4 linked regions of the Pelodiscus sinensis genome follow. The protein of the gene in region 4 interacts with the protein of the main gene of each other region in a pairwise test. Links are inferred from orthologs where the notes say so. Each region holds a gene or a part of one and is shown on either strand. Other genes may lie near its edges.

What was found.
Region 1: the proteins of QRICH1 (region 4) and RBM17 interact in binary tests that used the Homo sapiens proteins (3 or more experiments, as listed by UniProt). The two-hybrid records come from large-scale screens. The link is inferred for Pelodiscus sinensis from reciprocal best matches to the Homo sapiens genes QRICH1 and RBM17.
Region 2: the proteins of QRICH1 (region 4) and NFIX interact in binary tests that used the Homo sapiens proteins (3 or more experiments, as listed by UniProt). The two-hybrid records come from large-scale screens. The link is inferred for Pelodiscus sinensis from reciprocal best matches to the Homo sapiens genes QRICH1 and NFIX.
Region 3: the proteins of QRICH1 (region 4) and HSPB8 interact in binary tests that used the Homo sapiens proteins (3 or more experiments, as listed by UniProt). The two-hybrid records come from large-scale screens. The link is inferred for Pelodiscus sinensis from reciprocal best matches to the Homo sapiens genes QRICH1 and HSPB8.

Annotation. Positions count from the first base shown.
Region 1 is NC_134711.1:8,475,613-8,483,243, forward strand, and holds the start of RBM17 (splicing factor 45), read left to right. Parts: upstream 1-4,612; 5' UTR 4,613-4,699; coding exon 4,700-4,818; exon of another isoform or gene 4,819-4,884; intron 4,885-7,631. UniProt on the Homo sapiens protein: Splice factor that binds to the single-stranded 3'AG at the exon/intron border and promotes its utilization in the second catalytic step. Involved in the regulation of alternative splicing and the utilization of cryptic splice sites.
Region 2 is NC_134729.1:12,880,115-12,887,125, forward strand, and holds the start of NFIX (nuclear factor 1 X-type), read right to left. Parts: upstream 3,014-7,011; 5' UTR 2,963-3,013; coding exon 2,903-2,962; intron 2,725-2,902; exon of another isoform or gene 2,402-2,724; coding exon of another isoform or gene 2,372-2,401; intron 283-2,371; exon of another isoform or gene 127-282; coding exon of another isoform or gene 124-126; intron 1-123.
Region 3 is NC_134725.1:10,137,226-10,144,591, forward strand, and holds the start of HSPB8 (heat shock protein beta-8), read right to left. Parts: upstream 3,018-7,366; 5' UTR 2,481-3,017; coding exon 2,093-2,480; intron 1-2,092. UniProt on the Homo sapiens protein: Involved in the chaperone-assisted selective autophagy (CASA), a crucial process for protein quality control, particularly in mechanical strained cells and tissues such as muscle. Displays temperature-dependent chaperone activity.
Region 4 is NC_134721.1:6,951-13,896, forward strand, and holds the start of QRICH1 (transcriptional regulator QRICH1), read left to right. Parts: upstream 1-3,946; 5' UTR 3,947-4,071; exon of another isoform or gene 4,072-4,150; intron 4,151-5,646; exon of another isoform or gene 5,647-5,707; intron 5,708-6,946. UniProt on the Homo sapiens protein: Transcriptional regulator that acts as a mediator of the integrated stress response (ISR) through transcriptional control of protein homeostasis under conditions of ER stress.

The sequences.
Region 1 (7,631 bases), on a different chromosome or scaffold from region 4:
TGAGGGATGTTAAATTTCGATTAATTGGCTAATCGAATAGTCGATGGAATTTCCATTGACTACTTGATTAGTCAATAAGGGGGGCACTTGCTATCCTGCTGCACCTCTGCCTTTGAAATGTACAAGAGCCACTGCAGGCTCTTGTACATTTCAAAGGATGAGGCGCAGCAGTCGGGACCCCAGGTGAGTGGAGACTGCTTCAGGCCCTGCTCACACCATTTCCACCACTGCGCCTCTGCCTCCCCGCCCTCCCCCCCTCCATCCCCGCAGAGACGGTGCTGGGGGGAACCAGCTTGTAAGTCTATAAATTCGTAACTGGTAGGGAAAAAGTGAATAAGGCAAAGTTATTTACTTGTACCCACAATATAAGAATTAGGGGTCACCATATGACATTAATAAGTAGCAGGTTTAAAACAAACAAAAGGAAGTTTTTCTTCACTCAGCGCACGGTTGGCCTGTGGAACTCCTTGCCAGAGGAGGTTGTGAAGACCAGGACTTTAACAGGGTCCAAGAAAGAACTAGATAAATTCATGGAGGTTAGGTCCATCAATGGATATTAGCCAGGATGGATAGGAATGGTGTCCCTAGCCTCTGTCAGAGGCTGGGAATGGTTACAGGAGAGGGATTACTTGAAGATTCCCTGTTCTGTTCACTCCCTCTGGGGCATCAGGCATTGGCCAGTTTCGGCAGACAGGATACTGAGCTAGATGGACCTTTGGTCTGACTCAGTATGGCCGGTCTTATGTTCTTATGTAATACCCCAATGTAATTTGATACTGTTTCATATAACACATACCTGAGACATGCTCCAGTGCTCATCTGAGTTACTGGGAAGTTTCCAGTTGAGTTCAGTGGGTTTTGGATTAGGCCCAAAATAAGACCACGTGGCAAAGTTACAGAACCATGTCGGAGTAAGGCCAAAACCTACTCTATATAGTTTGAAATAGTGTAACAGGTGTTCCTATGTGTGCTTGTGTTGAAAAATAGATTGAAGAACTTACTAGATGCTGTTTAAAAGAAAACCTGCTGATAGCACAAACAAGGATGGGTTCATGTATTCTATATTGTGAAGACAGGGGTAGATTAACCAGTGGAATAATGGGGCCTGTGCCCAGTTGCCTTGGTCAGTTGGAGGACCCCTGGAAAAATGGGCACCCACCCACCCACCTGGCGTTCCTGCTGGGGAACAGGGTTGAGGTACAGGGGCTTCCAAGTACAGGTGGAAGACGCCCCCACTTGTTCTGATCCATGACCCCACAATCCACCCCTGTACAAAGATATTCTGGGCATAGTTTCTCTCCCTCAGTACTCAAAGAATTCTTCTCAAATGAGTTTGAAGAAGCTACGACATTTAGTATGTCTTCATTTTTCAAGCATCCCTAAGATGAGTTGGGGGATATTATATTACAATAAAATATTATTTTAAAAAACCCAAGAGAAAACAAGGAACAGAATTTATTTTGTTTTTATTCATTCCAGTGACTTAAAAATATGGTTTTGTTCCCTTTTCAAAGACTGAAGCTATTTTCCTCTCATTAGCTGGCCTGAGAAGTCAAAGCTGGAGGCAGGGGCAGATGACTGTTTTGCGGGGCCCCGGGCAGCATAATTCCGCGGGGCCCCCCCTTTGCCACAGCGCATGCGCGGGGCTTTCTGAAGCGCGGGGCCTGGGGCGGCTGCCCCGTTCGCCCTGCCCTATATCCATCCCTGGCTGGAGGCAGACATTGTACATCTTTTTTGGACACCTTTTTCATCCCAGGGAGTTTTTGAGATAATATTGTGCAAGGTATATTTGTGATCCCAATGAGTTTTGCACCACGCATTTATTAAACTGGGTGGAAGCTTGTAACGAATCCACCTTTAGCAAGCACCACCACACCAGTGCAAGACAAATCACACATACCAGTTCAGCTGAACAAGGCTCAAGGTCTTCTCCAAAAACACAGACCTGTCTATTCAAGGACATCTCCCCTTGCTAGCTGTAAAAGTAAGGCCCTTGTCCTTCCTGTGGGCCAGCCACTAACAGATGACATAACACCCATGTGCTTTACATGCACAAAAAGCTTGATTCCCCCCACACTGCTGGTGCAGAATATTGCACAAGGTGAAAAAGGAAGAGTAGGATAAGGAGCACAGGGAATCACTTCTGTATCATTGTGTTGCTGCTGAGATCACCAAGCTACTCCTGCCTCCCAGATCTGCAAACTGAAACCCAGGGCATCTGCCATGGGGCGTAACTAAGGGTGTAGTTTGGTCAGTCTCAAGGAAGTCTGCATCAGAGGGTGAAATGCAGTTTTTCCTTCACAGCACGGCAGCCTCCTCCTGCCCCGCCACTTTTGCTAGTATTCCAATGGATTAGCTATGTGTGTGGGAGAGGGATGGCTCTAGGAATTGATTGCAGAGCACTGGGGGCTTGGAAATGGAGACAGCAGCAAGATTCCCACACATGAGAATCCTAGTGGAAGGGCCCCAGAGTTGCTAGCTTAGCTGCTCAGTGGCTCTTTTAGGTAGCCAGTTTGCCAGTGGGTAGATACAAAAATCAGGATCAAACAACCAACAGGGCCTGGAAAAAAAGGGATGTTTGCAGTACAGGCGACTCTCATATTTACAACCTAATTGGTTCCTGGCGAACCATCGTAAGTTGAGCTGTTGTAAGTCGAACCCTTATTTCCCAGAGGCACAATGATATAAATGGGGGGGGGGGTCCGTTCCTGGCCCGCTTTGCCTCCTGGGAGTTGTAGTCCCCAGCACGCCAGGCCCAGAGACAGCCAGGGGTTGTGCCAAGTGGAGGTGGCTCCACGTGTCCCAGAGCCAGTGCCAAGGACTATGTTGGGTGGAGGCAGCACGGTGCGAGCTGCTCCTAGAGCCAGCTGGGGGCTATGCTGTGTGGAGACAGCACTGTGCAAGCTTGCAAGCTGCTCCCAGAGCTGTCCGGGTGGAGGCGGCTTCACGTGTCCTGGAGCCAGTGGCGTGGTGTGAGTTGTGCCCAGTGCCCGTCAGGGCTGTGGGCAACTGGCTGACTCTGTGGCTCACTGTGCAGGAGCAGGGCTGGAGCAGGGCAGTCGTCTATGCGAGGTGTCCTGAGTCGGGAGGTCGTACATTAGGGGTCACCTGTATTGTCCATTTCAAGGGATCAAAAATCATGGTCTGTCCAGGGCTCAGCAGCACTTCCCCAGGCCCCCACTCAAGCTACATCTACACTGCAACGCTATTTTGGGATAGCGGAGTATCCCAAAATAGCTATTCCGCATCTTCACAGAAAGCCTGGTATGTTCATAGGCTCACTATTCTGACGTTCCTATAAACCTCTTTCTACCAGGAGTAAGGGACGTTTCGGAATCATGCTGTATTCTGAAATAGCATGGAAATAAGATATGCATTTTGCGTAGCTCAAATTGCGTATCTTATTTTGAGTTACGGTGCCATGTAGATACAACCTCACCGCCCTAAGCCTGGGCAGCACTTCCCTGACACTCCTTGTCTTCTGCTGCCCTGGAGGAGCTTCTTGTGTCACTGTGAAAGCAGGTTCCAGGATTTTTGAACCAGTCATATCCTAGGACCTGGAGTCACGCTGGCAAGGCCTGTATGACAATGGGTGAGGCACAGTCCTGGGCTACGCGTAAACTGGCATGATTTTCCGCAAATGCTTTTAACGGAAAAGTTTTCCATTAAAAGCATTTGCGGAAAAGCGCGTCTAGATTGCAACGGACACTTTTCCAAAAAAGCACTTTTTGCGGAAAAGCGTCCGTGCCAATCTAGACGCACTTTTCTGCAAAAAAGCCCCGATCGCCATTTTCACGATGAGGGCTTTTTTGCGCAAAACAAATCTGAGCTGTCTACACTGCCCTTTTGCGCAAAAGCTTTGTGCAAAAGCACTTTTGCCCGAACGGGAGCAGCATAGTATTTTTGCAAGAAGCACTGATTTCAGACAGTAGGAAGTCAGTGTTCTTGCGGAAATTCAAGTGGCCAGTGTAGACAGCTTTTTGCGGAAAAACTTGCCAGTCTAGACACAGCCCTGGGTTACGTCTTCATTGGCACCCTTTTCCGGAAAAGGGATGCTAATGAGACACTCCGGAATTGCAAATTCTGCAGGGATTTAAATATCCCCCGTGGCATTTGCATGAACATGGCTGCTGCTTTTTTCCAGCTCGGGGTTTTGCCGGAGAAAAGCACCAGTCTAGACGCGATAGTGTGGAAAATAAACCCTTTTCCAGAAGATCCCTTATTCCTACTTGAAAGGATGCCAACGTAGACAGCCCTGGTGTTTAATATGTTGAAGGTTTGGGAAGCCTCTTTGTAATTAAACTCCTAGTCACAACTGTACTGTTAATTACTCTGAGCCTATGGTTCCTCTTCTCTCTCCCGCTCATAGATCTTCTCCTGCAGGAACATGATTAGAGAGACAAACTGGGGGACTTAATATCTTTATTGGGACCAACTTCTGGGGGTTTCCCTTCTGCAGGGCAAGCTCAGGGAGCTGACGCTAGGGGTCAGCAGCGGGCCGGTGCCTGTGGCGGCGCTCTCTATGGTCTTGCTACGTCATTGGTGGAACACCGCCCCTGACGTACGACGCTTGCGCAGGACAGCGCTTCGGGTCGCTCCTCCCCGTTTCCCGCGCTGCTTCTGCGGAGCTCTCGCGGCGCTGCGTAGCCGGCAGCTTTCACGTTACGGAGTTTGCGTAGCTCCCCCCTCCCCTCCCCCAATGACCTGTGGTGCGGCGTTTACGCAGTTTGCGTACAAGGTTCGCGCAGCGGAGGAGTTCGGCGGCGCCGGGCGCCACACGGCCGTTCCCTGCCTCTTCAGCGGCGGCTCGCTGGCGGGGTGAGCGGGGCCCGGCGCCCACCGCGGACCAAGCGCCAGGCCGCGGCCGGAGGCCCCAAGCCGGGGGTGGGGGCAGGGCCTGAACTTGACTGGCGGGAACCCTGGGGGCTGGGCCAGCTCGTGGGGGGAGGGGAGCGGAGGTGGGGGGGCAGCCGGGGGGGAGGGGAAGCAGCTCTCGGGGGGGGAGCTGGGGGGGAGCGGAGGTGGGGGGGCAGCCGGGGGGGAGGGGAAGCAGCTCTCGGGGGGGAGCCGGGGGGGGGAGCGGAGTTGGGGGGGCAGCCGGGGGGGAGGGGAAGCAGCTCTCGGGGGGGGGAGCTGGGGGGGAGTGGAGGTGGGGGGGCAGCCGGGGGGGAGGGGAAGCAGCTCTCGGGGGGGAGCCGGGGGGGGGGAGCGGAGTTGGGGGGGCAGCCAGGGGGGAGGGGAAGCAGCTTTCGGGGGGAGCAGCTCGCAGGGGGAGGGGAGCCGGGGGGGAGCGGAGATGGGGGGGCAGCCGGGGGGGAGGGGAAGCAGCTCTCGGGGGGGGGGAGCCGGGGGGGAGCAATGGGGAGGCTGGGCCAGCTCGTGGAGGGGGGGGTTCATGGGGGACTGGGCCAGTTTGGGGGGGGGGGGTTATAGGGTGGCAGGGCCAACTTGTGTGCTGCTGGGGGTAGGATGGGAGGTTCATGGGGGCAGGGCCAGTTTAGGGGCTGCTGGGGATGTGGTGCGAGGCTCATGGGGTCGGGACCATCCTCAGGGCTGCTTGGGATTGATGGCGGGTGAGGGGGGATGACATGGGATACTTCGGGGTTATGGGGTAGTTTAGGAGGGTTGTGGGGTGGCTCCACTCGTGGGTTGTTGGGTAAATGAGGAGGGTTATGGGGGACTGGGCTTTTGATTGTGGGGAGGCACTGGGCCCTGGCAGCTGGGGGATGGGTAGGCTACTTATGAAGCTTAGAAGGGATCCGGGGATGTCAGGCTTGAAGGGCTGCTCTGCCAGCCACTTCCAGGGCCAGGCCTGTTCTGGGGATACTGGGGATGGCTGGATCTATTCAGGTGGGGTGCTTGGCTGCTGTTCTGGCAGTGACAGCTTGTGGTCCAGGGCTGCAGGAGTGGAACTGAATGCCATTGTCACTGTGGATTCAAGCCACAGACTAGGGCAGTGGCACCCAATCTTTTCGAGGACCCAGACCACTTTTCAATCTATTAAAAATTTACGGACCCCTCCCCCCCCCCCAAACAATATATCTGTGCCTGCATGTCCTTCAGCCCATGCTCCTTCCTGAGTGGCGTCCCTGAGCCCACTGGGGAAGCTGTGTGGGTTGTAGGACGTACTGTCTGTGAGGAGTTCCATGCAGACCCCTTACAGTATCGCTGTGAACCCCCCGGGGTCTGCAGACCACAGGTTGGGAACCACTGGGTTAGGGTATTGATTCAGCTCTGTATAATTCATGCACCTTAATGCAAAGCCTTCAGTGACCAAGGCCTTGTGAGCTTTGTTCAGATACTAGTGCCTGTGTCCCTCATCAGAACTGGAATTTGTCACTCTTGCTGTCCCACCACTCGTGTTCTCACTACTGGTGTTACGTGTTGCAGAGCCCGTAGGCAAGGGTCATCGCTGGTTCTGTTTACACATGGACTAATGATCCTGATGGTGGCTTTTGGGGGCTACTGCAGTATAATCAACAATGAGGGGTTCCAGTGGCATCTTAAAGCCTAACGTCTATTTGGGTATAAGCTTTTGTGGGCAAGGGCATATAGGAAGTTATTTATGCCCAAATAAACTGTTAGTCTTTAAGGTGCCACAGGCCTCATTTTGTTTTTGCAGATATAGGCTAATAGCTACCCTTCTGATACTTGCAGTACAATGAGTAACACTAGCCTCAGTGGACAAAACTTCCTTCTATTTTTATGTAGTATTCCCTACTAGGGATGTTAAGGACTAGTTGACTGTCCAATAAGCAAATGCTTTTTGGATAGTTAGTCAACTCATTGATTTCCCCCTCTTCCTGCCTCTATCAGATAGCTGAGGCGGCGTTCAAAGGGGCAGTGCTGCATAGCTGAGCCCAGGATCGGCTGTGCGCTGTATTGTGTGAAGCCTGGGATCAGCTGGGGACTCCCCAGCTGATCCCGGGTTCTCAGGAAATGCTGTGTGGAACCTGCAGTCAGCTAGGGAGTCCCCAGCTGCATGGCATTTCAAATTGGTAGTACAGCATGGAGCCCGGGGTCAGACTCCAGGCTCCATGCTGCACTGCCAATTTGAAAGGCACAAGAGCCCCCCACTGGGGACTCTTGTACATTTCAAAGCTGGCATAGCCTGGAGTCAGCGTGACTTCCCGCTGTCTCCAGGCTGCATGAGGATTTCCGCATTCCTCCTTTGAAATGTAGAAGAGCCCCAGCGGGGGCTCTTGTACATTTCAGAGGAGGAATGCAGAAGTGCCTATCGACAATTCCATCAACTATTCGACTAGTCAATTAATCGTTACTTAACATCCTTATTCTCTACCCCAGTTGACCTGCCTCTGAAATCAGTTTTGTATGTGTAGTGAAATTTGGTACATCATCTTTGATTTACTGTATAACGTCTAGTTTATATATTTCAAAGGGCTTGCTACTTCTAGTGAGCTGTGTAACAATATCACCATGGCTAAGAGTCCCAGTCTGTTTGATCAGATTGCTAGGAGCAATTGATCAGAATTAACATGAAGCTAAGTATGTTGGGTGATAGTCCTGACTATAAATCAATGAAGTTAATATGTTTTTGCTCACATTCTTACTTTGGAGGAGTGATACTATGATCACAATGGTGGTAAGGCTCATCCATGGCACTGCTAGTG
Region 2 (7,011 bases), on a different chromosome or scaffold from region 4:
TGTACTTTGAGTCTCGGGTTAACCTCTTCACCGGCAGGTGGGGGAGTGTTTTCGTTTGGAAGATCTGCTCTTCCTCAAGCTGCCTCCCCCCAAACGAAATATGACAAAAAGCACCATAATTACCATTGCTCCGTCTCATTCCGGCAAAGCTAAGCCCCCGATTCGGAAATTCTGGACTCAACCGAGTTGCGGGGGGAGGGGGGAGGGAAGAGGAGGTGGGGGCTGTGAGCCGGAGGGGGAGGAGGGGACAAGGAGGAGGGAAGGTAGAAATTTTAAAGGGAGGAGAAAGGGGGGGAGGAATGGGGGTGCTTGCTTGGGGGAGTTCTCGCTTGTGGAGGGAATAGGGAATTTTTTAAAAATGGGGGGCAGGAAGGATGGAAATAGGGGAGGGGCGGAAGGAGGCTGGAGCTGGAGGTGTGGGGCACAGCGTGATGGATCTGTAGAACCCCAATACTCTAACTGAGAAACCCCGCGGCAGGTCAAAATAAATATATTTCCCAAACGGCCCCTCCAGAAAAAAAAAGACAAACAGAGGGAGGAAGGAAGGAAGGAAGGAAGAAAACCCAGAGAGAGGGAGAGGAGCGGCAGAAAGGGGGGGAGGGCTTTGCGGTGCTGGCAGCGGCGCCAAGATGCCAAGTTAGCTGCGGGTCCCTCCGCCCGGGCGGAGGGCGAGCGCAGGCCTAGGGGAAGGGGCGGACGCCGCGCTGGAACCGACTGTGCTCCGCCGCTGGCAGGACCCAAAGTGCTCAGGCGTTGGGGCTGGGTTTTGTTTTGGTTTTGGGGGGTTTTGTTGTTGTTTTCCTCCCTTCCACCCCCCTTTTCCCTTTTCCATCCGAAACTCGCTCGCTCGCTCCTTTCATGCTCGGTCCCCAACCATTCGCCTGTGCCAATGCCAGCGAAAGAGAGAGGAAGGATTCACGTATTTGGCAAGCAGACACATTTCCAGACCAGCCAATGGCTGCATCAAAGCGAAAGGGAGGCGGGGGGGAGGGTTGGCGGAGCAGAAACTGGGGGGGTTGGATTGGGGGGGGCCGGTGGCACAGAGACTGTGCAGTTAAGAGACTGAAAACAATTTGCCAAATCGACAAGTTTATATCTAATGAATAAGCAAAGTCCAGCCACGATTCATTTTTTTTCCTCGGGCGCTGGATGTTCGGAGTGCGGGAGACTGGCACAAAATTGCTAAATAAATAAAAAACTCCATTCTCCACCCCCCCACCCCCACCCCCACCCCAACAACCAAAAAAAACCCAACCCAGGCAGTCCCACAAGGCCTTGGAAAAAGCAGCTGTTCTCTCTTTCCCTGTCCCTCGTTCCCGCATTCTCTCTCTCTCTGTCTATTTATAAAAAAGGACAGAAGATTTCGTTCCAAATCTGCACCTCCCCCCTCCCCCCCCCCACACACGGTTCAGATTAAAGCCGCGGAGACTTTTTTCTAAGCGGCAGAATCGTCAGTTTCAAACCCTGCCCATTCCCAACCGCACAGAAAAACACCATCACGGCAAAGATTTTTTTTTTTTTGCCTCCTAACCGAGGGCCCAATTCGACAGTCATCAAGGATTTGCCCCAGGCCTCCCGGCCTGGCCTGTCCCTGCCAACTTGGGTGATTCTTTTTTCCAAACAAAAATGTTTTAAAAAAAGAGATGCCGACTGACTTCCCGCCTCCCCCTGATCCCCGCGGGTAAGCGCTAGAATGGGTGGCAACGCGGCTTGCCAATGTTAGCACACAGACCCGGTCGCTAAAGGGGCCGATTGACTTTTTTTAAAATATCCTAGGAAGCCAAAAAAAAAAATCTTATTTTGGGGGACGGACAAAGGGGTGCGAAGTTAGGATACTTTTAAAGTCCCCTTCTCCAGGCGAGCCCTCCCGACACTGCCTCTGTGCAAAGCATGACTATTTATTTTTCGGCTATTGTCCGTGCCGCACGCTCAGCTGCATCGAGTAGAAAACCCGACAGCGAAAGCAGGAGAAAGTGGGAGAGAAAGGGAGGAAGGGGAGCCAGGAAAGGCGAGAAAAAGGGGATGAGAGAGGAGGAAGGAGAGAAAGAAAAGGGGGTGGGAGGGAGGGAAGGGAAGGGGGAAACCCGCGGCCCGAGAAGGGACTGAAAAGAGAAAGGAAACAGGAAGACGGAGGAAGTGGAGGAGAGAAGGAGAAGGGGGAAGGAGAGAGGAGAGAACGCCAGGGGAGAAAGCGGCCCTGACTTGCAGGCATTTCTGGCTGTACCCCCGGCAGCCCGCGGCTGAGAAATCCCGGCTTTCCAGGGGCGCAGAGCCGAGGCAAGGGGGACTGAAATGGCAGCTTTTACCCAAAGCGGGAGGACTGGTCCCGACCCCCCAGCCATGCCCCCAATCTGCCCATCCAGGCACTTACGCGCCCGCCGTCGCCGTAGTACCGCAGCATCCCTACCCGCCGGGAGCCCTGCGCCCAGGTGCCGGCTGGCCTGGCCGAGCTGCGGCGATCGGGAGCGCGGGCCCGGCCCACCGGCTAGCCTGCCGCGGCTCTATCCCCGACGCCCGCAGGCAGGCCCAGGCCCTGCTGCCAGCTCTCCAGCTCCCGAGCAGGCTGCCAAGGAAGCGCGAGCGGGGATGGTGGGGGAGGGCCGAGGTGGGGGGCGACGGCTGTCATTTCCCCGGCTCCCCCCCGCCCCCAATCCCAAACCTAGCCACAGCCCAGGCGAGCAGGGCTGTGCTGTCCCCAGGCTCCGATCCGCCCCTTGCACACCGCGCACGAGGAAGCCACGGTTCCCCACTGCCCTCCGCTGCTCGGGGCCGTTCGGGCCTGCCTGCATTTATACCTGTGGCCAGCCCCGTCCGGGGGGCACGCCCCACGGGGAGCCACACAAAGGTGACTGGTCCCCCCCCGCACCACCCCCCCCCCGCTTTGTTAGGGGAGACAAAATACCTGTGCCTGCCTGCTCTCCTCCATCCGCGAGGCGGGGGAGGGAATTTGGACTGGTGCCATGAAGGCACGAAAGCCGAGTCCAGGGGGTGGGGGGGGAAGTTGCAAAGAAAAGGGAGAGCGGAGAGAGAGAGAGAAGAAAAAAGTGAAAGTGAAAGAGGAAGGGGGAAGACGAGGGAGGGAGGATTCGCTCCCAGAAGGGACGATTCGGAGTTCGAGTCTCCAGGGTTTAGACCCGAAGGCTGAACTTTCACTTTCGGCGAGGGATTTGCTTGTGGGGGGATCCTTCCCCGCCCCCGGGATGGTTCCCATAAGGAAACAACGACCGTTCCGATCCAAACCACACGCAGACGGGCAGCGGGTAGCGGGCACCCCGGAGGAGGGCAGGGCGCCGGCACACGGGGGGTTTTGGGGGGACCATCAAATGGAAACGAAACAGCTGGGGGGAGCGCGCTGGAACTACAAAGTCAGAAGGGGGGGCCGCAGGGGGAAGGCGAACACCCAGGCAAGGGGAAAGGCAGCGGAAGCGCGTGGAGGGCAAGGCCACCGCGGGGAGGGAGGAGAGAGGGAAAAGCAAATGGGGAACAGGGTTAAAGCGGGTTTTCGGAGGGTGCTCAGGTGGGCTTGCTGCAAATCGCCGCCTGCTCGAGCAACGGTGGGACTGGGCCCAGGCGGGCAGGGCTGGCACCCACAGGGCTGGCCAGGGCCCCCCTTCGAGTGAGTCCGGGAGAGCACCAAGCCGCCACGCGCCGGGAACAGGCCGGCTCCATGCGGCAGGAGCCGGGCAGGCGAATGCGCGGCGGCGGCTGCTCTCCCTGTGGGCTCTGCCCATCCTCCGGCCGCACGGGAGCCCGGCGGCAGAGATACCAACGCACCTGTCTGAGCACAGTCCCATCCCCGGCCCACGGCTGAGCTGGGCCCGAGGGACACCGTCTTCCCACGAGGGTGGGGGGGCACCCACGAGGGGGCAGTACACCATGGCCAGGCAGGGCTCTCGAGCGGCGGGCCGGGGCGCTGGGTTCTGTGCACCAGCGCCCGGCAGCGAGAGCCGCAGGGGGCGGTGGATCAGACGTGCCCCTCGCCGGGACGGCAAAGCAACAGAGCCGAAGCGACTGGAAAGGAGGAAGGCCCGGGCGGGATTTCGGGGGGAAGAGAAGGCCTGGGGAGGAGGCCGAGGCGGGCAGGGAGGAAAGAGAAACGCAGGGAAAATCACCCGACTGCGCACCCAGACCTGGCCGGGTGCCTGTGCCCGTCTGGCTGGCCATGCCCCCGCAGGCCGGGCCCCTGACATGCAGACACACTGGGGTGGGGGCTGCACCCCCAGCGGAGCCCATCGCGCACCTGCCGAACCTGGAATCCGTTCACTCGGTGGGATGTTTTTCAATCCGCTCCGAGGCCTGAGGGACAGTTGAGGAGCTTTCCTAACTCCAAGTCAAACTTTCCGACTCCTGATCTTATCTCCCCCCCCCCCACGCTTTTCATTTGGGGGCTCTCGTTTCCAGCAGCGGCGTGTCAAGCTTTCCCGGCGTTGCCATAGGAACAGGCCCTGGCACCCTGGCAAACTCTTGCCCTAGGGAATGAATAGCACATAACTGTCGCCGGCACCCGCCCGGGGCTTGCGCCTGTTGCGACAGGGAGAGAAGAAATCGGGGCCAAAGTTTTGCAGGCGCACGGGGGTTTGGCCGAGGAACGTGGCGTTCTTCCTCTCCCGTCTGCAGCGCACAACACCTGCCCCGGCCGGCCGGGGAAGGGGCACGGACAGTCTCTTCGACCGCCTTCCGGGGGCTCCGGGCTGGAATCTTTGTGCCTTGGTCTCCCCGCCCTGCGTGCACCCAGAGGCCGTGGCCTCCCCAGCTTAAAAGCGAACAAATCTTTTTCCTGCTCAGTCAGCCGCCAGCTTAGTGCAAAACCGGCCCTCCCCGAGCTCGGCTGGCACAGGCTGCGGGGACAGCATCTTTCTTTCTCTCCCCGCCTGCTCTGACCCTCCGCTTCCCCGGCGCTAGTCAAAAGCCAGAGTCTAGGACGAGGCGGCAGGGGCATTTCTATCCTCCCGATACGGACCCCCCCCCCGCACAAATATATCTCTAGGAAACCCCACGCATGCAAATATGCAGCCGTGCAATCATGATATCGCTCTGTTTTCTCTCGGCATTCTTCTGCTCCGACACAAAGTGTTTGCTTGCTACGATTTTCCCTCTCTGACCCGATTTAGTCCGCACAAGAGAAAACTGTGCAGCAGACTCAATGTCCTAACGAACTTGAGTTAATTAATGCTAAGAAAGAAAGAGGCTCCCCTCAGACACTTGAATCATGGTTCACTAGCTCTTTCAGTTTTCTATTTGCAAAAAAAAGGAGCCTGCATTCAAATATTTTTTCCTGTCTGAGCAGAGAACACAAACAACGCCGAGAGCTGTAGAAGGGGAAATAAAGTAGCGGCACAGGATAGATTTGTGCAGGGAGATCGGCAAATATAGCATCAAAGGAAAGGGCTGATTTGCAGGGGACTGAATGGTTTTTTTTTCCTCTGTGCAACTGTTGGCAACAGCGAAAAGCAACCGCCAAAGTGGAGGGGAAAGAGCGGCGGGTCCCACTGCCCCGTTTGCTCTAAACTTTAACAGAACAGTAAAGGATTTGAACGCCCAGCCAAGCGCGGGGCGGCAAACGTAGGGAAGAAGCCAGAGTTCTGGAAATGGCGCTGCACCCGAGTTTTGCAAAACCAACCCACCGGATTTCGGACGGAGGCAGAGTTTGGCTCGCCACCCGCTGGCCCCGGCTCTGCGTCCCACGCCCAGCCCAAACGCACGGCACCGCAGGATCGGGCCCCGCAGGCAGCAAGCTGACAAGTGACAGGGCTCCGTACGCGGCCGCTCGGGGCGGGGGGTCTCAAACCCGCCCAGGGGCACGCACACGTCTGGCTGCTCCCAGCGAGCCTGCGGCCAGCAGGAATCGCTCCCGGGGAGCTGAGGGAACCACCAGGCAGAAGGGAAATCGGAGGTTTCCGTGGCCTGGGACCCAATTCCCCGGAGCATCATCGCCACTTGGGCCCTGCCAGCAACCGGATAAAGGCGCCGAAGAAGTTTCCCCTGGCACCTGCAAAGGCTGCTATGGAAACCTGCCTTCGCCTCTCTGACCTCACAGAGGCAAGAACTGCAGCAAAGTGCCCCCAGCTAAGCCGCCTGTTGGGGGCTCTGGCTCTCGCTGCAGCCCACAGGACAGGCGGCTCTGAGCAGGGAGCGGCTGCAGGAAGCCCTGGGTGACTGTCGCAGGCCGCGGGAAGCCCTGTGCTAGCGACCAGCGAGAAGGAGTCTGCCTGACCCCTCCTCCGGCCCCAGTCAATGAAAGGCGCCGAGGGGGTGGAGAGGGACCCCAGTGCTGGGTGATCAGCGGGTTCTGTTGTGCCCAGAAGGGAAGAGTCATGGGCGTGCCAGGGCGGAGGAGGGCGTCCAGCATCAAAGCAGTAAGCCGGCTGCGGGCCAAGCTTGGGGAGCACTGGCCAAGCTGGCAAAGTGGGGCTCAGGATTGGAAGGACTGGGACGGGGGCGTGGGGCCCGGAGGTCAGGACTGAGGGACCCTGGCGGAGCTGGCACAGCAGCGGGTTCTCTAGGGCTCTGTCCACCCTTTGTCTCCACAAGCTCCCAAATTCACTCCCCCATTCGGGGGTGGGGGGCACCGCTGACGGGAAAATGCCGCCTGCGCCATCGCGACTTCTCACCACAAAACACGTTTCTTATTTATGTAAAAACGAAGCAAAGGAACCCGCTTGGCGAGTGGAAGCTCACAGCCACCACGAGGCATGGCGCTGGAAGGAAACATCTCCCCCAAATCTCTCCTTGGGGGGCGCAGGTGGCGAGAGCCAGGCCAGCACCTTTGAGAAGGGGGGGTCTTTGGGGAAACACAACAGCATTTTGCTGGTTCTTTGTGCTGCGCTCAGGAAAACCCGGGAGGTAGACGTCTCCCACCCACTGATGCAAGGAGGCAAAGCCGCCGGCGTAACCCCAGCCAAACCCGACGGATTTACACCAAAGGGCCTTCCTTTCTAGCCACTGCCAGCTTGCCGTCAGATTATGTTTTCTGATAAAAATACCCAGCAGGAGGCAAATATTCCAACGCCC
Region 3 (7,366 bases), on a different chromosome or scaffold from region 4:
GAAATCCAAGCCTGGTGAGATCCATGAATAATCCATATTCTCCCTCCATCAGCATAGGATTGGCTTAACACTTTACCCACTCTGGTCTGATGGGTCATTGCACTCCCAACGTTTTCCCATTGTTTTGCTGTAGTACCAGTCTCCCTCCTGACATTTCAGGCTGAAAGCACATCTCGATGGACTCCCCCCCTCCACCCTTCCCCTCCCAGGAGCGGCCTTTATGTAATTCTCTCCTATCCCTAGTATAACCCTCTTCCTTCCTTCCTGGGGGATGGGCAGGTGGTCAGAGCACTTACTGCTCTTGTCTCTGAATCAGCTCCTTAGCTGGAGTAAACCAGCACGGTTCTTTTCAAGTCAAGGGAGTGAAACTGGTTTAAAGCAGCTGAAGAGGCAGCCATGGTTCTTTTACTTTTCAGCTGTTCAGACCCAGAGCCGCATTATGACTTTCATGGGCCCTAGGCACTTTTGCCTTCGTGGGCTCCTTCCTCCATAAAAAAAATATATATTAAAAATTATTTTTGATATAACTTTAAATACTTCAACATTTTTTTTCTGTTTGAGGCAAAATGTAATAGATTTTCGTGGGCCCTAAAAGTTTCAATTTTTTCTGATGTGAGAAAAAAACTAAAACATTTTCTTCGACCCTAAAAGTTCATTTTTTTCCTTCTGATTTTAAAAGACATTAAAACATTTTCATGGGCCCCTAAAAGTATCGTGGGCCCTAGGCACTGTGCCTACTGGATAAGTCGCTTCCTTCCCCCTGGCGCTTGCTTAGCAGGGCTGTGGAAAGAGAATCTCATCAGGGATTTTTTCCCCCTCTGCCCACTTTGTTTTCCTGGTAACACGTTATTTTTAATGCTGCATTAATTGCAGGGGAAATCACAATAGAATTTTTATGGACGAGCTTATGGCCTCTTCATTCGGCACCAGCGAATTGGCTCTGTCATCAGTGTTATTGCTGGGGCTGCTAAATGAATTAATGATTAGACACAACGTAAAGAAAGGGTTCCCCCTCCCCCCAGGTTATTTCTTTTGTTGTTTCTACTCTGTTAACCTCTCCCTTTGTTTTCCAATTTTATGTTCGGTTTCCATCACCCTTCCCTGACTCCATTGCACAATGTATGTGCTTTTTCTCCTGGGTTGTTAATCCTGCCTTATTTTAAAACTTCCACTTAACTCTTTGCACTCATCTCTTTCCCAGCCCCCCTGCCTCCTGCTTTTCTTTTGGTCTAGTTGTCCTGCCCCTTTAAGACTTGCAACTGTTTGGGGACTGTAGAGGAGGGGCATTCCTGACTGGTGAATGCCCAAGGACTGTAATTAGACTTTGTCCCTTTAAAGGAATTCCCCTCCCACTTAGCCTCCCCTCCTGCACCCCAGGGTAGCATAAACTCTGAAATGATCCGTAATTAAAAGAATGAGCAAGGAGCCCAACCCTGCAAACCCTCACAGCAAGCAGGCTTGGGCCTACTGACACAGTGATACTCACACCCAAAACTTAAGTGTAGTTGCATATATATACAAATATATACTCAAATATATGCAAATAGCTTCTTTCACACTTTTGGGGGGGGGGGGGAGCCGAGTCTGCACAGGATAAACTTAAAAAACAACAAATGGTCTGGTAGCACTTTATAGACTAACAAAACATCTACGTGTTTCGTTAGTCTTTAAAGTGCTACCAGACTATTTGTTGTTTTTTAAGTTCTTTCACACTGACGGGCACAAATTCAAAGATTAGGGCAAGACTACACAACACACAGGCCCCATTTAAGTCAGTTCTGCTGATATTAATAAAATGCAATAATTACCTGATTTCCACCCTCATGACAGCACCAGGAATTTAACTCCTAAAACGAGTATCAACAGAAGACCATTCTATTGACTCCACTGGCTGCATTTTGAGCCCCGTGTAAAACCAAACTGCACTGTGGAGTGCAAACAAACAGGCTGCGTGTTGAGTGGCCCTGCTCTAGGCCCTGAATGCTGTCTCCCACTAGCAACAACTCCATTTTTAAGGACCTAGTTTTATTTCCATTCCCCTGTGTTCCTCTTTTCTGCGCTTCCCTTCCTTTTCCACTGGCCCCTCGCTCACCTGACACTTCCACAAAGCCATCCTTGGTTTTCACCGTCAGCTCCTCAGGTTTAAAGCTCTGCACGTTGACACACACCTTCCAGGGCTCCCCAGAGAAGGGAGCAGGACTCCGATCTTCAGGGTAACTGCCGAACCTGGAGCTGTACCCAGGAGGGGACATGCCAGGGGAGGCTCGGGCCATTCCTGACCGCAGTGGACCAGGCCATGTACTGGTCAGTCGCGGGCGAGCCCAGTCCAGCAAGTCTGCAGTCAGGTCCCCAGAGAAAGGGCACATGCCAAAGTCATCATCCAGGAGTCGAGAGGACAAGCCGGGCTCTCTGAAGCGGTCTCGGACACTTCGGTGCCTGGTGGGGTAATGGCAGGAAAAGGGCATCTGGCCATCAGCCATGATTTTATTCTATGGTAAATGCAACAGCAAGAGAGGATAAAATTCTTCCGACCTTATCCAGCTTCTGGTGCACCAGCTGCCCCAGGAAATGTCTGTGTTTGCTTTTCTGTTCCTGAGTGCCAAGCTTCAGTGGAAGAATTTCCCAAGAAAGATTTGTCCACTCCCCCAAACCAAGGAGAGAGGAACTGCTGTGCCTTGATTCTGACAGGCAGTTTATACCAGAATCCTCCTGCCCTCCAAAACAACAAAATTTAAAAAAAAAAATTAGAGCTGAATCATTCAAAGATTTAAAAATGCAGAAAGCAGTGAGAGGAGAGAACAAAGTTTCCTGTTTGTTTTAAATCCCACACAAGAGAAAGAGGAGGAGAGGGGGGAAAAAAAACCCAGATGAAAATCTCTTTGTGGGAATGAGAAACTTCCAAACTCGAGAGCCTTGTTTCTTCTTTCTTCCTGCTTCTTTATCTTCAGATCCCTGGCAGGAGCTTAAATAAATGTGTGTTCTCCAAGTCCAGAAACTTCTCTAACATTCCAGCCAGCTGGGAGCCTTCTATTTATATGGAGCTTGGGGAGAGTGGGAGGGGGAGGTTGTGCTTTGCAATTCTGGCCGTGTCAGCTGGGTATTTTGGAGAAGATGAAACACCCTTGGAGAATCTGTTGCGACAGCTGACCTCTCCCACTGGGCCGGGAACACTTACGTGGGGCAGCCAAGTTTAGGTAGCTTTCCTCACCTGCCACTCCCTCTGCTCTGCTCCCTCCCTGCCTGCCTCCTTAGCCTGAGGCTGCTACACTGCAGCCAACATGTTGCTAATAGCTTCAGGGCAGGCTACAGCTCTCTCCTGTCACCATGTTAAAATACCCACTGGCCCTAAATTTTAGCAGAGCCGTGGTGCGCCCAACACTGTAAGGACACCGGGAGCAGGGCCGGAGTGAGCCAGGCAGGGAGCGTGAGTCATTCCCGTGTGCTCTGTGCCTCTACGGGGTTGCATGATGATCTGTGGTTCTGCACGAGGATGGAGTGGGGTTTTACAGACGGTCCTGGTGCGCCAGAGCAGCAGGCTGACTCGGCCCTGGCAGTGACACCTAGGACTTACTGCTGTCAGGCTTAGAAGGCCAGTTCCCAGTTGTGAGCTAGATTGGACCCTGCTTTGCCCATGGCACCCTAAGCAGCAGGCAAGTGTGTGTGTGTGTGGGGGGGGCAGGTTGCCCACCATATGGAGCACCACTGGCTGGGGAGGGTTTGACCAGGGTGGCTGGTCTTTCCCGTTGACGTTCCCAAAGCAAGAAGCTGTGGGGCAGACCAGCATTTCCCCTCTCCTTGTGGCCCCCAGCCTCCCCACAGGGCTGCAGCAGGCAATGCCAGAGCAGGAGGGGAAACTGCATCCCACATCAGTGCTGTGGGGAGGTTTTGCACCCAGGCTCGTGGAGCACGGTGGATGGCTGGGTGCTGTCTAAACCCACTCAGGGCTGGGCCAGGCTCCGCTGCCCCCCTGCACTGCCTGGCCACGTGCAGGGAGGTTCCCAGTGCCAGCACGGGGCTGCCGTAGACACTGCTCTCCCAGGCAGCGCAGCAGGTGTCGGGGGGCTTGGGGTCACGCTCACCCCAGCTGCTGAACATTGACAGACCTGGGGGGAGGTGCTTTTCGCATCCCCCGCTGCAGCTCTGACGCTCGTGCCAGTCGCTACGGGTCTATAATTTCAGTATGCAGCAGGCCAAGCCAAGCAGACGCACGCCTCCATCCCCACGGGGCGTAGGGAATAATGACCAGCCCACGTCGCTCGCTCCTCCTCTTTCTCGCTGCTTTGAAGGCTGGCCAGGCTTTTCTCTGGGCCTCACCCAGCTCCCTTTGAAGTGCACAGAAACTCTCTTGGTGGCGTCCAGGGCTTGGACCCATCGCATTTGTTGAAACAGGCCTGGGCTGCCTTTGACCTTCACAGATCTTGCCAAAGCTCCAGCTGGGGCTGTCAGTAGCGCTGTGTGTGTGTGTGTGTGTGTGTGTGTGTGTGTGTGTGTGTGTGTGTGTGTGTGTGTGTGTGTGTGTGCGTGTGTGTGCGCGCGCGCTGAGTCAAAACAACACACTGTGCAGTGCTGCCCTCTGGGGCGGGGATAGCCCCACAGAGGCAATGGGAGAGGTAGGGAAATCATTCCCTACCCCTCCTTGCCCTTTGGCAGCTGAATTTTATTTCCCTAGTGCCATCCCCCCCCACCCCTCATGCGTCCCGAAAAGCCCGTTGTCCCCATGGAGATACCAAGGGCTGGCTTTTAAGGCCCTTCCTTTCAGAAATGGACCACTGGGCTTTATCGTGGCCCTGGGATCGCCGCTGTTGGGCAGTGGGGGCAGAGGACGTCTACGTGCTTGTGCGGAACCAGGTGAGATCACTGGCTCACAATAAGACAGAATGACTTCACTGGTGCCTTGGCAGGCTCCACGCCAGAGCAGCGCTGCCTTGCAGTCCTCCAGAGATGGTGCGTCTCCCAGGCCTCTAGAGGAATGCCCAGCTCACCCAGAATTAGCCTGTAGTTACAAAATGGCAGAGCGCTCCTTCCTGAAGAATTGAGGCTAAACAAGGCCTATTAGGTTACCCAGTGCACTCCCCTGCCAATGCTGTACCTCCACCTGCCCTACATCCTCTAATTTAGAACAGGCTGCTTCCCGGGAAGACCATTCCAGAGGCTATTCAGTGCGTGACAGCCACCTAGCCTGATATCCTTGCCTCAGTGTTCTGCTTCATTTCAGCCCATTACTATACCTCTTCCCTCCCTCATCCTCTGCCCCGACTCACTGATTAGCAGCCGTACCTGACAGTGGCGAGGTGGTGATGGTTCGGCTCTGAGGCCTCCCTCCAAACGTTACCTCAGCCTCAGACTAATCCCAGGGTGCGGGACTTGTGAAGGTGTGAAAGTGTGGAAGGAGCAGGGGGCTAGGAGCCAGGAAGACATAGGGTTGCCAGATGGTTTAACCAAAAATACCGAACACACACACACACAAAACCCAATGGAAAAAAAATTCTGTTGAGAAAAAAGAAGGGGGAGGCCAAACTTGTTGAGCAAAAAAAAAAATTAAACATTAAAAATTAAAAATCAGCATGGCCCCTTTAAGAAGAGGCTTTTTTTTGCCAGTGGCCATTTTGTTTTTCTGTTCCAGCCATAAGACAAGCCCCTGCAGAACCAGGTAAGCGGGGGAGTTTCTGAGGGGGCCTGGCAAGAGGTCAGGGGACTGGGACCAGTTGCTGAGTGTGTTGTAGGGTTGCCAGGTGTCCAGTATTTTCGCCTCCTGGCAGGGAAAAAACCCCACAAAAATACCGGACATTTTAGGTGTCCAGTATTTTCTGAATTTTTTTAATGGACAGGAGGTGAAAATACCAGACTGTTCGGGTGAATACCGGACATTTGGCAACCTAGGCAGACACTTCCCGGTGGTGCCAGCTCAGCATTGTGCAGCTTCTGGCCTTGTCACTCGATCGCCTCTAGAGCAAGAATTAAGTTCTTTGCACTGAAATCAGCCGATAGAGCGTTTCCAGAGGAGTTTTGAGAGGGCACTGGGCACAAGCTAGATCCTGCAGCAGAATGAAGTCACAAGGCCTGACTGCCTGTTATGGTTCAACTGCTTTGTTTCCAAGAGGAATACACCACTGCCTCTGTCCTCAGCCCCTTGCCTGTTGGGGGCCTCTCCCATCATTCAAAAGTGTCGCCTCCCTTCCACCTAGGGACCCAAGGCCATAGGGCTAATGCACAGAAGTGCAGCTTAAACTATCGTGACATTGACGCTGTCAGCCAGGCCTGGTCTGTACTTGACAGCGCACTTTGGGAAGCCATGGTGAGCAATGGGATTCCCCGGGTGAGGTTACCTGCCGGGGACCACAGTGGCTGAGTTGTAAAGAGCAGACGCAGACTGCAATCCTTTCCTTGGCCTTAGGCACTTCAAGTGACAAGGCCTGCCAGGTGCACAGCCGTCTCTTTAGCCACTCATGAGCAGTGTTGTCTTCAAGTCATTGTTGTCAAGTCCAAGTCGAGTCTCAAGTCACTACAGTTCAAGTCTCAAGTTGAGTCTCGAGCCCCTAACGTCACTTTCGAGTCAAGTCCCAAGTCAAGTCTCAAGTCTTAATTTAAAAAATGTCAAGTCACTTTTGTACAAGCCATCAATATTGGCATTTTCGGACAATTTTTTCACCAAGTCGATTTAACAAAATTAGCAAGTCTCAAGTCGAGTGTCAAGTCACAAACAATGAGCCCGAGTCAAGTCTCAAGTCGAGTCACCTAGATGACTTAAATCGGAATCAAGTTCAAGTCGTGGGACTCGAGTCAACAACTCTGCTCATGAGCAACACAGCAACCCCCTCTGTCACAACAGAGACCAAGGGACAAGAAAAGCCTCCTAGGCCTTGAGGTGTCCTTTGGCAACCAGTGGAATTGCCGAGGCAGGAAGGGGCTGGTTAAGGGAGGAAGGGTGTCAGACTCAGGCCCCTTGCCAAGCAATGGTTAGGTCCTGGTTTCCATCCCACACCCCTCCCAATCTTTTAACACTAATGACTATTGTTACGTATCTTTCAAGCACAGGAGCACTCTGCAGACATGCAAGGAGTTCCCTTCGGACCCAGTCACTGAAGTTAGGCCTTGGTTTAAACACCTATCGAATCAGGAATTGGGATGTCACCTTGCGAGAGGGATCTGGGTGACAGTTAACTGGCAGCAATGACAGTGGCGAAGGGAAAGTGGTGCTGTTTCGGAAGGGCAGGCATTTGGATGACGGTGTCCTCACCACTAGGCATTGGGGGGCAAATGCTCCTGTTGGATGGGCTGGGCACAAATCAACTTCAGGCTTTGAAAAATCACCTTGGCTCTTCTCTGCTCCAGGAGAAACTCAGCCAGGTCGGAGGTGCTCGTCCTA
Region 4 (6,946 bases):
CGGGGGGGTCAGTGGTAGGGGGACGGAGCGGCTGCGTGGGCCCGGGGGGGGGACAGTGGTGGGGGACGGAGCGGCTGCGTGGGCCCGGGGGGGACAGTGGGGGGGACGGAACGGCTGCGTGGGCCCGGGGGGGACAGTGGGGGGGACGGAACGGCTGCGTGGGCCCGGGGGGGACAGTGGGGGGGGACGGAGCGGCTGCGTGGGCCCGGGGGGGACAGTGGTGGGGGACGGAGCGGCTGCGTGGGCCCGGGGGGGACAGTGGTGGGGGGACGGAGCGGCTGCGTGGGCCCGGGGGGTACAGTGGTGGGGGGACGGAGCGGCTGCGTGGGCCCGGGGGGGTCAGTGGTAGGGGGACGGAGCGGCTGCGTGGGCCCGGGGGGGACAGTGGTGGGGGGACGGAGCGCCTGCGTGGGCCCGGGGGGGACAGTGGGGGGGGACGGAGCGGCTGCGTGGGCCCGGGGGGGACAGTGGTGGGGGGACGGAGCGGCTGCGTGGGCCCGGGGGGGTCAGTGGTAGGGGGACGGAGCGGCTGCGTGGGCCCGGGGGGGACAGTGGTGGGGGGACGGAGCGGCTGCGTGGGCCCGGGGGGGACAGTGGTGGGGGGACGGAGCGCCTGCGTGGGCCCGGGGGGGACAGTGGGGGGGGACGGAGCGGCTGCGTGGGCCCGGGGGGGACAGTGGTGGGGGGACGGAGCGGCTGCGTGGGCCCGGGGGGGTCAGTGGTAGGGGGACGGAGCGGCTGCGTGGGCCCGGGGGGGTCAGTGGTAGGGGGACGGAGCGGCTGCGTGGGCCCGGGGGGGTCAGTGGTAGGGGGACGGAGCGGCTGCGTGGGCCCGGGGGGGACAGTGGTGGGGGGACGGAGCGGCTGCGTGGGCCCGGGGGGGACAGTGGTGGGGGGACGGAGCGGCTGCGTGGGCCCGGGGGCAGCTCACCGCCACCACGGAGTCACCTCCCGGTTTCCCAGGCACATTGGCTCCATGGCTCTCGCTGCCCAGCTGCTGCCAGTGGGCCCTGGCGGGGCCTGTGGGGAGTGAATGGGCACAGGGCGGGGAGGGTTGGGGCTCCCGCCTGGAACTTCCACCAGTCCTGGAGTGGCCGCTGGCTGTGGCAGCCTCCGGTGGGTCGGGCAGACGCCTGCCCCTTCGTTGCCTTCCGCCAGCAACAGTCCAGCCCCCGCTTTCAGCTCGCCCAGCCAGCGACCCTGTGCTGGCGAGGAGGGGTGGGGGCTGGTTTCCCGCCCAGGCGAGGGCTGCCACGTCGTGCAGCGCGCAGTGGGGGTTGGGGCGCTGCCAGGTACTCTCCTCGCTGTGGAGAGTGTGGCCGACAGCTCTGCCGGAGGGAGGGCTGCCCGGGAGAATCCGTTTAGCGGCTTGTGTGCCTGGATCAGGAGACCCTGGGCTGGCGCAGGGCCCGTACAGCTCCATTCGCCAAGCCAATGCACACGGACCCAGACTGGCCCTCGTGGCCTGCTGGGGCCACGCCTGTCCTGAGTGCGCAGCAAAGGGTTGGCAGGAGACCACAGAGCAGGTGCCCAGCAAGGGCCAGCGGGAGCCCTGGTGTAAGTCCATGGTGCTGAAGGAATCACTTTTCTCTTAACCCCTGGGCTGCCGTGTCTCCCCCACTGGCCCTGTGTTGGATGTGGCTGTGTGTTCAGTGGGGTAACAAACAACTCCGCCCCCTCTCCCCGCCTGGCTGCCCTGTAGCTTGGGGGGGACACTTGGACCAATCAAATCCCTCTGTGTAATTAGCCTTCCCCCAAGCGGTCCACACGCCCCAGCTCACATGTGGCACTATGGAAGGTGAGGCCTGGCCTGCTGGAGGCAGCCTGCTGCCCCCGGGGACTGGGGACTGCTCCTAGAGCCAGGGGGCAAAGGGAGAACATGGGAGTTGCCGGGCACGGCCAGGTGATGCATGTCGCCCACGTGGGGCCCAGCTGAGCAGACAGAGGGGGTCAGCCCTGAGAGGGGCCCACCTTAGGGACAAGCCCCTGGCAGTGCCTGGGTGTGCTGCTCCCGCTCTGGCAAAGAGCTCAGCAGTGCGAGCCGAGGGCAGGCCAGTCACTGCCCAGCCACCCCCGAGTGACACGCCCAGTGTTTGCTTTTGGAAGGGCCTAGCGTCTCTCCGGGTCGCGCCCTCCCGCCCAGGCTCCTGGCTTTGCGCCGTCAGGGGGGTGTTGGATTGACGGCGAGCGTGAAATCCATGATCCTGCGGCTCAGATGGGCTCGGCAGCTCTCCAAGCCTTGCCACTATCCTGGCTGCTTCTGCTGGAGCTGGGGCTGCAGCATCCAAGCCCCATCGGCCTTATGTCTGCAGCTCCTGGTCTGACTCCCTGCGCCTGAGTGCAGCCAGAGCTGCTGTGTCTCTCATGTGCGACCCAGTAATCTCCTGCCTCTGTCCTCTTCCGGGGCCTTGCCTGGCCAGCCCCCTTCCTGCCCCGCTTCCCTTGGCAGCTACTCTCGTGGCTGCCAGAATTCTCGCTGGGCACTTGCGAGGGCTCCCCGAGGAGCCCTGTGTGGCCTCGCTGGAGAGCTCCAGCCTGGAGTGCCTGGCGGCAGGCCGGCCCACGGGCTCTTGGCGGTTCTGGGGGGTGCAGGCCGGCCCACGGGCTCTCGGGGGTTCTGGGGGGCGCGGGGGCTCTGGGGGGTGCAGGCCGGCCCGTGGGCTCTGGGGGGCGTAGGCTGGCCCACGGGCTCTGGGGGACTCCAGGGGGCTGGGGGGCTCCGGGGGGCACAGGGGATCTGGGGGGCACAGGCCGGCACGCGGGCTCTGGGGGGCGTGGGGGCTCTGGGGGGGCGCGGGGGCTCCGGGGGGCACAGGCCGGCACGTGGGCTCTGCGGGGCTCCGGGGGGGCGCGGGGGCTCTGGGGGGCGCGGGGGCTCTGGGGGGGCGCGGGGGCTCTGAGGGGCACAGGGGCTCTGGGGGGGCACAGGGGCTCCGGGGGGCGCAGGGGCTCTGAGGGGCACAGGGGCTCTGGGGGGGCGCGGGGGCTCTGAGGGGCACGGGGGCTCTGGGGGGGCGCGGGGGCTCTGAGGGGCGCGGGGGCTCTGGGGGGGCACAGGGGCTCCGGGGGGCACAGGGGCTCTGGGGGGGCGCGGGGGCTCTGAGGGGCACGGGGGCTCTGGGGGGGCGCGGGGGCTCTGAGGGGCACAGGGGCTCTGGGGGGGCGCGGGGGCTCTGGGGGGGCACAGGGGCTCCGGGGGGGCGTGGGGGCTCTGAGGGGCACGGGGGTTCTGGGGGGGGCGCGGGGGCTCTGAGGGGCACGGGGGCTCTGGGGGGGCGCGGGGGCTCCGAGGGGCACAGGGGCTCTGGGGGGGCGTGGGGGCTCTGGGGGGCGCGGGGGCTCCGGGGGGCACAGGCCGGCCCGCGGGCTCTGGGGGGGCACAGGGGCTCTGGGGGGCACAGGCCGGCCCGCGGGCTCTGGGGGGCACAGGGGCTCCGGGGGGGGCGCGGGGGCTCTGGGGGGCACAGGCTGGCCCGCGGGCTCTGGGGGGCACAGGGGCTCCGGGGGGGGCGCGGGGGCTCTGGGGGGCACAGGGGATCTGTGGGGCACAGGCTGGCCCGCGGGCTCTGGGGGGCACAGGGGCTCCGGGGGGCACAGGGGATCTGTGGGGCACAGGCTGGCCCGCGGGCTCTGGGGGGCACAGGGGCTCCGGGGGGCACAGGGGATCTGTGGGGCACAGGCTGGCCCGCGGGCTCTGGGGGGCGCGGGGGCTCCGGGGGGCGCGGGGGCTCCGGGGGGCACAGGCCGGCGCGCGCCGGGGGCTGCGGGTTTGCGATGCCCCGGGGGGTTCCAGCACGCCGGGAGCCTGGCGCCAGTGGCCATGGGGGCGGGGCCGGGGGCGGCCAGGGTGGCTGTGCAGCGCCGGGCCCTGGGCCGGCCGGGGGGCGGGGCTCTAGGACAGGCTGGGCCCCGGGGGCGGGGCCTCCTGTGGACTCTGGGCCGGCCAAGGGGCGGGGCTGCGCACGGCGCCTTTAAGGCGCGGGGCGGCTCCGGCGCGGAGCTCTCGCGGGGCTTGGCGGCCGCGCTCTCGCGAGGCCGGGGCCGAGCGCTGATTGGCTGCGGGGGTTGAATGTAAGATGGCGCCCAGGGAGCTGTGAGGGGAAGGAGTCGGGCCGAGGCGGTGGCGGAGCGAGGCGGCGGCGGGGCCAGGGTGAGGCGGGGCGGGCCCGGCCGAGCGGCGGCGGAGCGGGCTGGGCCGGGCGGCGGCGGGCTGGGCCGGGCGGGGCCTCCCCTTCCAGGGGGGAGGCGGCGGCGGCGGTTCCGGGGGCGGCGCGCTCCCGCGGGTTCCGGCGCGGGCCCGTTTGTTGTGTGGCGTTGCCGGGAGCGCGCAGCGGAGCGAGACGGCGCGTGCCCGCGCCAGGCCTGTTCCTCTCCCGCGCGAGGTGGGGCGCGCCCCCGTGTCCCTTCCCCCCGCCGCGGGGCGGCACCTTCCTGTGCGCGGCTGCTGCCGGCCACGCGCGCGGGCCCGCGCGCTCCCGGCGTGGGGCGGGGGCGCGCTCGCCTCCCTGGGGCTGCCCCCCCGGGCCTGTAGGGCGGCGGGCCCCTCCCCCGCCCCGCGGGCTCGCCCTGTCCCCGGCGCGGGCGGGTGCCGCTCTGCCGGGCTGCCCGTGCGCGAGAAGGCCGCGGCCGAGGCGGGTCCGGCCCGCGGGCCGGGCGCTTCGCTCGGGCTTTGGCCGGGAGCCGGGCAGCAGCGCGGCGGCCCCGCAGTCGCTCCGGCCTCTCGGAAGCCTCCCGCCGCGCTGCGGGCCACCCCTGCGCCACCGCAGCCTGGCGGCGCCCGGCCCGGGAGTCTCCCCGTGGGGACACAGCGGGGGTCGAGGCCGCTCACGTGCAGCGAGAGCTCTTCGGGACCCCCTCCCCGCCCCGCTTCCTAAGCCGCCTCGTGTCCGCGGAGACCTGCGCGCGGTCACCGGAAAGCCTCTCCGCACGCACCTGGCTTGTCAGGCTCCGGTGGTCTCAAAGTTTCACTGGCTTGCACGAAGCCGTGCTCGGTTTTGCAGAGGGGTGCGTGGCTCAGGGAAGGGCTAATCAAGTCTGTTCAGTTGTGTGAGAGCTGCAGGAAGAAAAAGAGATATTTGTGCCGACAATCGGAGGCCTTAAAACGTCTTGGAACGGCTGAGCGCGGAGCTTGGTCTTCTCTCCGTTTAACACAGTGCCTTCGTGTGTGCTGGTTTCTTCCCCCTTTTTGAGTTTTTTGTTGAGTCCTCCAAGAGCCTTATTTGGACTCTTGGTCCCCAGCTCTGCATAGTTACTCTGCTCCACCTTAAATGCTTGTGAGGAGAAAGGAGCAAGAAAAGAACTCTAATATTTTTTCCATTGATGTCTTGTTCTAAGTTTCAATAACTCCAGTGCCTGTTATATGTACTGGAACTTGTATAACTTTTGTCACAGAAGAACATTTTGCACTGCGCAAAAAGATGTACATGGAGAACTGTCTGTCTTCATACATATTCTTAAGATCTGGAAGTTGAAAAAAATGGTTAGGAATTGGGCATGTCTGGTAATGTCTGTCTAATTGTTAAGGGTGTAATATTACTACGACTCTATTCATCTTGTGTGTTTTATTAAGTCTCTTTTAAAAATAACATTTAACTAAAACCAAAACCCCTGGGGATAGAAAGAGCTTCTTTGTTCTGTCTTCTCCAGAATGTTACCAGTCTAAGAGCTCAAGACAAGTGCAGCAGAAATACCTGCAACATGGTGACTGGTGAGTCCAGATAGCCCACCTGCTGCAAATGTGTGTGTACATTTTCAGTATCTTGAGTCTCTAGGTTTTATGAATTAACCACATGTGCTCATTAGGTTGGACTACTTTTCGGACCCTATTTAGTGGAAAAAGCAATTAAGCTGAGAAGGCAGGAATTATATCCATGTATCCAAGCAGCAAACTTTGCAGAACAGTGTAAAGAAAGATGCATTCTGCCAAGTTTTAGCAGCAATGAGTATTTGCCTCATTTTTAAATGAGCTGTACATAATGGATAAACTGAGTGCATAAACAGATCCAGTCTGATATTTTAATAGATAATGGTAAAGATGCCTGCCTGCCAATATAAACTTGTGTACATTCTACTAGAAAATGTGTTTTACCGTCGAATGCAATACTAACTTTGCATTCAAAGTATATTGAGTGTGGGCTTGGAAATCTTTAGAGGTTTTTATTTTAAAAAATAAAAATCTATGTTCGTGCTGAGTAGTAAACATGCCTGAGTGAGGTTGTGGACGAGAGGGTGTTGTAGCTCTTACTTTCTGCAATTTGTTTTTAAACTTATGCTCATTACAAAGGAAAAAGAAGACTTTAGAACATGTTTCTGTAACAAGCACTAATACTTCCACTGTTGCTCATATTTTTCCCAAGCAGCAGAATAATGAAACTAGAGCTGATCAGTTTAACGACTGCAGTTCCATATTTCTCTGTAGGTAGCCTTGAGTTGGGTTAGATTAAACAGCAGTTGAGTTAACTATATACATTAAAAAAAAATCACTTTCTCATTTAAAAAACTGGGGAGACTCTAAGACTGGGACACTTGCGATTTCAGTCTGCCTCTTCTCCAGTTTCCCAGAACATTGAGAGAGAAAAGCAGACACTCCTCTGCTCTTCAGTGTAGGACCATCCTCATTCTGGTTGTACAGTGCCTAACATCAGCGTCCTGGTCCCTGACTAAAGCTCCTATGCATTACAGAAATCCGTGTATTGGCTCCTATGCTCCAGTGATCAATGCAGTGTAGAAACTTAGAACAGTTGTTTGGGGGACTGGGAGGGAGGGAAAAAGGAAAGTTTCCTTCCAGCAAACTGAGAGAACTAAGAGTGAGCTTCTGATTTCACCTGACTGCTAGTCACAAGCTGACTGAGATCAAGGGACAGTCAGATGGGATCCCAGCACTTGTTCTACTTCCCAGGTGTTGGAACTGGCAGAATGAAGCTTGGTTCTCAAGCCCCTAGACTTC